Schizosaccharomyces pombe: one gene and its partner. The gene in region 1 interacts genetically with each later gene. Each region holds a gene or a part of one and is shown in the gene's direction. Other genes may lie near its edges. The genes, in order: gmh4 and otg1.

The links.
Region 2: mutations in gmh4 (region 1) and otg1 impair growth when combined (synthetic growth defect), as found in Schizosaccharomyces pombe (one study listed by BioGRID).

Annotation. Positions count from the first base shown.
Region 1 is NC_003423.3:1,387,424-1,392,289, forward strand, and holds gmh4 (alpha-1,2-galactosyltransferase Gmh4), read left to right. Parts: upstream 1-2,112; 5' UTR 2,113-2,759; coding exon 2,760-3,670; intron 3,671-3,723; coding exon 3,724-3,799; 3' UTR 3,800-4,243; downstream 4,244-4,866. Other genes in the region: lipoic acid synthetase Lip5, read left to right, coding at 1-28; SPOM_SPBC8D2.16C (uncharacterized protein), read right to left, coding at 324-1,145, 1,189-1,314; SPOM_SPBC8D2.18C (adenosylhomocysteinase), read right to left, coding at 4,244-4,866.
Region 2 is NC_003424.3:165,160-169,906, reverse strand, and holds otg1 (alpha-1,3-galactosyltransferase Otg1), read left to right. Parts: upstream 1-2,167; 5' UTR 2,168-2,371; coding exon 2,372-3,487; 3' UTR 3,488-4,093; downstream 4,094-4,747. Other genes in the region: alpha-1,2-galactosyltransferase Gmh2, read left to right, coding at 57-1,097; alpha-1,2-galactosyltransferase Gmh1, read right to left, coding at 4,190-4,747.

The DNA of each region.
Region 1 (4,866 bases):
AGGAAACCCTGCTTCTATGAGTGTTTAAACATGGCTGCTTATCTAGGTACACTCGATAGGAGTTTGTCTTCAACAGAATTACCCTTTTTTGCATTGACTCGAATCATCTTTTAAATTTTTTTATTCTTTATTTCAACAATACACTCTTAGATATAATTTTAATCATAATAATTCTCGTCTTAGTTTCTAATATCGTCTTTATACCCAAGTTATCCTTATAATTTATCATATTCAAAATTGATTTTGTTTTCCTTGATTAGCGAGACAGCTTTATAATATTTAAGTAAGAAAAAGACAGCTTCACCTTTGTAAGTATTTAGGCTTTATCGTCGTCCATGCATCAGCAACATATCTGACAAACGGGTCATGGCCGCCAAAAGTATCTCTTCAGGAATGGGATCATTTAGAAAAGAAACTGGGAATGGGTTAAAAGAAATACTTTTGGCAGTGGAGTCTACGAGCTCTTTTTGTACGACATTGTCTTGTAAAACAAGAACAGCATGCCGAAACGAACTTGGTAAACTCGCTTCTAACTCTTTTGAAGTAATAGCTGAAGTCTGACTGTTGATTTGAACAACAAAGTCATATCCACCTTTGTAAGGAGAACTTTTACACAGCTGAGAAGAAAGACATGACCGCACCTTGTAACCCCAATAATGACCACCTTTTTCTCGTGGAGCTGAAAAAGACACGATATCACCTTGAAGCTGGCCTTCTTCGTTTGGAGACTGCGCTTTTAATCGAACCGTGACCCTTGTTCTAGGAGCAAGGACGCTGGGGCTGGAAACGATTACATTGTGAGATAGTCCAGCATTTATAATATATTTATTCTTTGCTTGCGGAGATGGATGAGTAACGATTCCCTCTCGGTATGGGAATTCAATATTCACTGTGCTAGCCTTGTCATTTCTGAGGGGAAGTAATGGAAAGCAGCTAGTATATTTTAGATGTGGATTTAGTGGAAACAATTCCTTCCTCATAAAGAAAGGCGTTTCGAAATAGCATAATAAGTCCGTGAGAAATTTTGTGGGATCCTTTAAATAAGCATCAGAGGAAAGTGTATGTACCTGGGTGTTTTGCACATATTCAGGGTCCTCTAGCAAAATAATTTCGTCAATACCATATAGAGAAACTATTCTCGAAATCTATATTTTGAGTTAATACGCGACAACAACGAATCTTTCAAACCTTCCAGACAAAACTCGTTTTAAGCTGCAAATTGTATGCTACATTTAGACTTGAAATAGGTAATGCTAAAGATATCGTATATCGTCTCGTTGGTGGTAAGCTTTGTATTTCGCTTTCTTTTTCCATAGCAGTTTCTGTAAGCAATTAATGAGAAGTAATAATATGGCCCAAGTAGCAGTATTTTATTTACTTTTTGCTGTCTTGGGAAACAGAATATTAGGATTTGGCTTTTTATAAAAATTTTAACGTCTTAAAAAGTTGGTGAAGAGTAAAGGCATGAATTTCATTTACCAGGCTAAAAACCGTCCATTTAATATAATTAAACTAATTTTAAATTTTTTTTGAAGTATTGATCAAGGTAAAGGGATATTTTATATCAATACTTTTATTGATAGGTAAAAAAAAAAATCCTGTACTTCATAAACAATGAAAAAAATTCAAACAAACAAATGTGTTTAATGCCATTCAATGAGTGCGATTTAAACTATCAATGAGTCTTCGTAAATACCAAAGGGCTATAGAATCCCCTTTTTTTTTTTTTTTTTTTTTCTTTATATGGAAATAATAAAAAAAATGGTGTACACTTTGCTTGCAATTTATATAAACCAACTATACACGCCGAAGCTTGTATATAACCGCTGTAAAAATTTGTTAGTAGAAAAAACAAGATGATATTTTATTAATTACATACATAATTTTTTAAGTCAATAGAAGTTCATCGACTCTGATTCAATTCATCTTCAATCTTACTCTATTTACTATTTACTTTTATGATTTTCGCTATATAATGAGTAGCACCGGGTATAACGCTATAACAGTTTAAAGTATAATTTCAATATCACTAAAAAAATCTAAAAACACGTTAGAGTACGTTAGGTAGGATGCATCGTACACGTTAATCAAAATCCTTCGAATGTCGAACACGCAGACTACAAATACAGCCAAGTTGCTGCCAATTATAAAAGCAACGTTTCTCTGCTCTTAGTACGTGGTTGGGTGGATCCTGATTTCTGTAAAAATCATATTCAATATCAATAACCAGTCCATCTTGACTCGTAGTCTTTGAAACGGTGTAAAAGGATTGTTGTCAGGATAAGCTATAATCTATTGTTGTTTAAATTGTAGAATCTTCCTCTTTTTTAAATATCGCCGATATAGCTTGACAAAAAGGCTCATTTTGAAAGCTAGGCGTTGTGTTCTCGCAAGGTTTCTTTCATTATCCGGTTTTTCGTATTTCTTAGTGAAAACGCCCTCTGTAACATCTTTACTGTTTTAATTTTCGGATATACTCGCGTATATATCGTTGGATCATTTATTTGCATTTAAAAAAGGGCCATATATATTCCATTTTCTTTACGACCCAGATCTTTATACCTTTTTTTCTCTTCTCTATTTATACCTTCTCGATTTACAGATATTCTCTTACCTTCTTTTCTACATTATTTGCACATTTAAAAAACCCCTAAGGTTTATTCTTTTAAACCGTTATCTTGTTCCATAGACGCGCATAACCAACTCATTTTTTCTCGCAAACTGTTTGTTTTGCACTTTTTTACTTTGTATTCTGCAAGATGTTCAACTTTCGTTTATTTTCTCGTAGAGGAAAAAGTTTAGGTCTCTTGGCCATCGTTTTATTGCTTTTTGGCTTTTATTCTTTAAAGTCTTCAATGCCTGTTTATTCCAATTCGATTGGTTCTCCCAGTGCCCATTCCTCTTCATACAAAGGTGTTTCTAAGGCGAAAACATCTCCACAAGATCCTGATTCCGTAGTCATGTTGATTGTTAGTTTTGACGACCATTATGATTCAAGTAGATCTGACTCCAGCTCTGTCTTCCTGGATAAAGTGCTTTCTGATCGTACAGAGTATGCCTTGCGTCATGGCTATACCCTAGTCCACAAGAAAGCCCGCGATATTCAAGCGAGGTATGGTGTCTATGGTACTTGGAGTATTATCCCAGCTTTGAGGGAAACTTTGGCTGAGTATCCCGACGCTGGCTGGATATGGTTGCTCGATGCAAAGGCTGTTATAATGAATCCTTCCGAATCTCTCAAGGATAGGGTCTTGAAACCAGAAAAACTGTCGCAGCATTTGCTTCTTAATTCTCCGATCGATCCATTAAAGAACTACATCCGTACACGCCGTAAAATGGATCCATCTGATGTATTTGTAATTACCACCAGTGATTATAATGGAATTAGTACGCGTTCTTTGCTTATTAAAAATAACAACTTTGCGCCATTTCTTTTAGATGCTTGGAATGAACCTTTGTTGAAATCCGCCGGTTTTGATCAAGCTGAGCGATCTGCGCTATCCCACTTATTGGAAGCACATAACACTATCTTGGATCATGTTGCACTTGTGTCTCCTAAAGTTTTAAATTCATACACCAACTCTGCGGTCGATTTGAATTACGAAGAAGGTGATTTCTTGGTTATTCTTCAGGACTGTGAGAACGCTGCTGCATGCGAGCGTATATTCGAGTATGTATTCTATTTATCATCTTGGTCTCTTGTATTTTTACTAACACTTCCAGCAACTACTATCAACAGAGAAAACTTCCAGCCATTAAAAAGCAGCTTTCGGAAGAAACGGTTGATGAACAATCGTAGGTTAGTACTGTCTTAGCATCTTACTTTCATTTCCAGTAACTCATCTTCATCTAAACCTATCTTTCAAATTCGGTGGTTTGCATATTCCTACATTAATTTAATGAATTTATACTTAATTTCCTTTGTTTGATCAAGGGAAGATATGTTTTTCGTTTACGGAAATACATCGCAGATTGGTTTACAAGTCAAGCAATTCATATGTTATATTCATCAAATCTTCTTAATGAAAGCACGTTAATTGCTATTCTATGCAAAGAAAGAAACATTTATTATGTTTGACCTGAAATCCACATAAACCCAGTTGAATAACATTAATGCATTTCATGGCGACATAGAGACATAGATGCTGTTGAAACATCACTCATGCAAAAAAAAGAGGCTGAAACATTTTTAAAGTAATTATAACTTCAAAATAAATTCTATAAACTAAATGATAAGAATAGATTAGTAACGATAGTGATCAGCCTTGTAAGGACCGTCAACAGGGATACCCAAGTAGTCGGATTGAACAGAAGTCAAAGTAGTAAGTTTGACACCGAGTTTACCCAAATGAAGACGGGCAACCTCCTCATCCAACTTCTTGGGAAGCATATGAACACCAAGAGGATAGCTGGTGTTATCGGTCCACAAAGCGATTTGGGCAAGGACCTGGTTAGTGAAAGAGCAGGACATAACAAAAGAGGGATGTCCGGTGGCACAACCAAGGTTAACGAGACGACCATCAGCTAAAAGAATGATATGACGACCGTTCTTCAATTCATAACGATCAACCTGGGGCTTGATGTTAACAACATCCTTAGCGTTAGCCTTCAACCAAGCGACATCGATCTCGACATCAAAATGACCAATGTTACAAACGATAGAGTCCTCCTTCATTTCGTTGAAGTGCTCACCACGAATAATGTCACGGCAACCAGTGGTGGTAACAAAGATTTGACCTTCCTTAACAGCCTCTTCCATAGTGGTGACTTCGAAACCGTCCATAGCGGCTTGAAGGGCATTGATGGGATCGACTTCAGTGACAATGACACGGGCACCTTGGCTACGAAGAGAAGTTGAACAACCTT
Region 2 (4,747 bases), on another chromosome or scaffold:
CAGTTATTGTTTCATTATTTCTAATTGATTTACTGAAGAATTGTTATAACCTAAAGATGGCACTTATGTTATCCAGGATTCCACGTCGTTTTTTTTTCTTATTTTTAACGGTCGGCTTGATTGCTGGCGCGTTTCTATACTCGTTGATATATTTTGTGGACGTTGATTTGGTGTCGAAGGTTAACCAGTTGTATGATCAGCAAATTGCACCCATGCTCTCCGATGCTATTGGCACTCCATCCGTTAATCACTCGTTTGAGTTGGCGCCGTTAGACTCTCATTTGGTGGCCACAAGCACTACATTCCACGAGGCGTCATACGAGTCAGAGCCTCAGCAAAATCCTGCCAGTCAAAATATTGTCTTATTACTAGTTAGTGATGGACACACTTCTTACAATAATGGAGCTAATACGTTTGAAGAAGCTATACAGAACAGAGTTGACTATAGTACCAAACAAAACTACAACTTTGAGTATGTCAATGTTACTGGCCTCCCTATTCCCGCCGTTTGGTCCAAGATGCCCGCCGTCTTACAAACTATGAAGAAATACCCCAAAGCGGAATGGATCTGGTTGTTGGATCAGGATGCAATTATTACTAATACCCATCTTTCCCTTCAAGACTCCTTTTTGAAACCTGAGAACTTGCAAAAGACCTTAATTACTAATACCATCCTCACTAAACGGCCTATAAATGCTAACGGGGATTTGCGTTATACACCAAGTAATTATAGTTTAAAAGATATCGAAAATCTCATGGTCATAATCTCACAGGATCACAATGGATTAAACGCAGGTAGTATCTTGTTCCGTAATTCACCTGCTACTGCCTTGTTTTTGGATATTTGGACAGATCCTGTTGTTGCAGAATGTGCGAAAGCCAATAATGAACAAGACATGCTTGGATATTTGATTTCTAAGCATTCACAACTTGCTTCGCTGGTTGGCCTTATTCCTCAAAGAAAAATAAATGCTTTTCACGAAGGTCCGGAAAATATGGAATGGCAAAAAGGTGATTTGGTAATTCACTTTGCTGGATGTTGGGTTGAAAACCGCTGCGATGAACTATGGCAAAAGTTTTACGCCTTGATTGACTAAGTTGCTTATTCATTATATCCGTCTGTTTAATTTGTTTGTGTTTTAAAAAATTTTATATATATAAACAAAGCGCCGTATAATTTTCCGTCAATCTTCCTTTCTTTATCTGAATCTCTAATAATGTTTACTATTTTTTAATCTTTACATACCTAATTAATATAGCGGTTGTGCCATAGCAATCAAAGTTTCAGGTTAGTTTTTTATAGCGAGATATCTGGGAGTTTTGTTTTACACAATCGTCCATCAATAATTGTTATATATTGTATATATTTCACATTGACTTTGAAGCTGTTTCTGTTGGTTCAACTAATTTGCTTTGGCAATTTACCAATGCAATATTGAAGATTGGAATAACAGTTTGGCGTTAATAAATCTTTTTAATAATTTGCATTTCACCGCAGCTGCCATTTTCTGTTAAATGCTGATAGAAGTTTTATTGAATCATTCGTGTCGGATTATACTAAGTTTTTATTTATCTTGTTTTTTGGCCCTACAAAGTATTGGTATGTCCTTATTTTATATTGATTACACTGGCTTTTGGCCTTATAAAGATATAGATTAGTTGCTAAGTCTAAAAGATGTATTTTTTAACGGTGGTTCCATTACGTCTGTGCACCCACTGTTTACACTTGTGTCTTTACAAACCTAGAAGCATTTTCCGATTAATGAGGTCTATCAGGTCAAGGAGAAAGAATATTTGAATAGATTTATCGACAAAATATATTTCGTTAAATTTACACAATATTTACTTTACCAATAAGCTAAATGGTATTTCCAATACTTTTCCAGCTAACAGTCAGATTTTTCACTGTTTGAAACAACTTCACCAAATTAATTCATTAGTGTCAATTTCTATTACATGCTTAAGCTCATAATTTTCAACATCCAGATAGCTCGAAAGTTGACACCATTACACACAAACTAAGATGATTGTGAAAAAACAAAGCGTTAGGATTTGTAAAAGGCAATTCCACAATTTGAATTACAATACTGTAACTGAATATAGCGCGGCACATGGTACAAACAACGTGCTGGTAATAAATTGACAAATGCAGAGCAACCCGCGTGATGAAACATAAATCTCGGATATTTTTTCTTTAAAGGGTTGTTAACGCAAGTCGTTTAAGGGTAAAAGAAATAAATAAATTTTAGAGGGTAACATCCTCATAAAGGGAGTCATCTTTAGAGCCTTTTTTCATTTTTTTAAGGCTTTCGAAAATTTCACGTGTCTCAAATTCTATTGTTTCAGCGGTTCGTTGAATTAATCTCTTATCATGTCTCGAATTTCACTTTCAAATTTTTTATCTCTTCCGCGTTACAAATTCCTGTTGTTTTCTGTGGTTTTGATTATTGTGATGACAACCTTAGTGTTTAACGGACACGATTATAAGCAAACCCTTAATGACCGGCTTACTTCATTAAAAAACAACTTTGTTGAGGAAAATGATAATGCCGTCTTAAAAGAAGAGCCTGGCAAATATACGTATATGAGTTTGTTTACTATGCCTTCTACTGAAGAGGATTACTACTTCAACGCTACTAGGGTTTTAATTCACCGATTGAAATATCATCCTACTACCAAAAGTAAATACCCTATCCATATCCTTGCACTCCGTGGAGTAGATGAGTGGAAAATTGAACGTTTTCGAAAGGATGGTGCTTCTGTGATTGTTATAGACCCCATTGCTTCATCGGATATTGTATACGATACATCCTCATTTAGTCAAGAAATATCTGCTAGATATGAACAAATGTTTTCGAAGTTGCGAATTTTCGAACAAATACAATTTGACAAAATTTGCGTAATTGACAGTGATATATTGATCATGAAGAACATTGATGATATATTTGATACTCCTTATATGTACCAACAAATTAATACCTTGAACTATACACGGCTACCTTCCTACACGAAGCCTGATGATGATACCGTCTATCACTTCAATGAGGATTTTAAAGAATATGGTGCCAGTCGAAGCGAATTTTACCCTTATCTTCTCGCAGCCGTCTCTGATAGAGGAGAGCATCATAGTATACCTCCAGAAGATACTCCTTATTTCAATGCTGGCTTAATGCTTATACGTCCAAGCGAGCTTCATTTTAACCGTATACTTAAAATCGGAAGGTTTCCTTATATGTATGAGAATGCCAAAATGATGGAGCAAAGCTTGTTGAATCTTGCATTTTCCTTGGACGGATGGTTTCCCTGGACTCGTCTTGATCCTTATTACAATGGCGTGTGGCCCTCAATTGACGAACGTCCTCTCTTAAAAACAGCACACGGAAAATTCTGGAATATTGGTAGCTCAGAATTTGCACCAGTATATTTAGCTGACTGGTATGCTGCTTATGGCGAAATGCTGTCTTTTCATAAGTATGAAACTCATTAAAGGAGGAATACCTTTCTTTTTTCTGTATTGTGACCTTATTTTACAATTAGAAGTTAAAATCTAATTGTATGTTATATATTTGAAAATTTCTTTAACTTATTACCATAATTTTATTTTAGACTTGCTATCCTTATTGTCTAAACGCACATTGTTTAGATCTCTTCAGCTTTCTTTGATTGCTGGCTATGTATACAACTTTATTACCTGCGTCTGTCTATAAATCCCGTTAGCGGTGATTTGCTTTCGGTCAGCCTATTTTTAGAATATAATTTTGGACTTGCGGTTGATTTTAATATACCTCTCATCTCTCCTTCATTATGGACTCATTAGACCTTATGAACAAACCCCAATTTTAATTATTATCACAAGCGTTTAGCAATTTTTGATGCTTAAACTAGCCTGAGGTCCAAACAGGATAGTTTAATTAGTGTTAGACATTAATATTTTTTAGAAAAAGATACTTTATGTCTAGAGGGTTGTTTTTGAAGCATTTTATAGAATTTATTCTTTTTTAAGAAAATTAATTAGATTTGTAAAAATGTGCAGCTTCATAATTATTTATGGAGCGAATCATTTATGTTTAAATAAGACGGCATTAATATAACGAAGTAAAAGATAAATAGTAATAATAAATTAACTGTAAATGCAATTGAAAATGTTAGAGGCTATAACGCGCCGACACTTGGGCATTGATTTAGCCTTTTAAATTATTTTATCTTTGTATTTAGTCCATAACTCGGCGCATTTGTTTTCAACCCAACATCCAGCGAAATGAAGAGCTAGATCTCCTTCTTGCCATTGCATTGTAGGGGGTCCTTCATGAAAAGCATTGATAAATCTTTGAGGAAGAATGCCAACCATGGAAGCTACCTGCGAGTGTTTTTGAATGAAATAGCCGATCAAATCTTGTTCATGACGCACGACTCCTGCATCTGCCAAAGAAGGATCAGTCAATAAATCCATTAGTAAAGCGATGGATCTTGAATTTCGTACTAAAAAGCTTCCTGCATTCAATCCGTTATGATCCTGAGAAATTAGAAATTGTATTTGTTCTATCATTTCCTTGGAGTAAGCCGCTGGAGTGATTCTGAAATTATCTTCTCCGAAAGAGTTTATAATTGGTTGCTCCCTAAGCAATGATTTTTGGAGCATTGCAGGTGAGAGAAATAATTCCTGTAAGGACAGATTTTTGTTCATTATAAGAGCATCCTGATCTAGCCACCAGATCCATTTTGCGGATGGATACTTGCGCATTGTTTG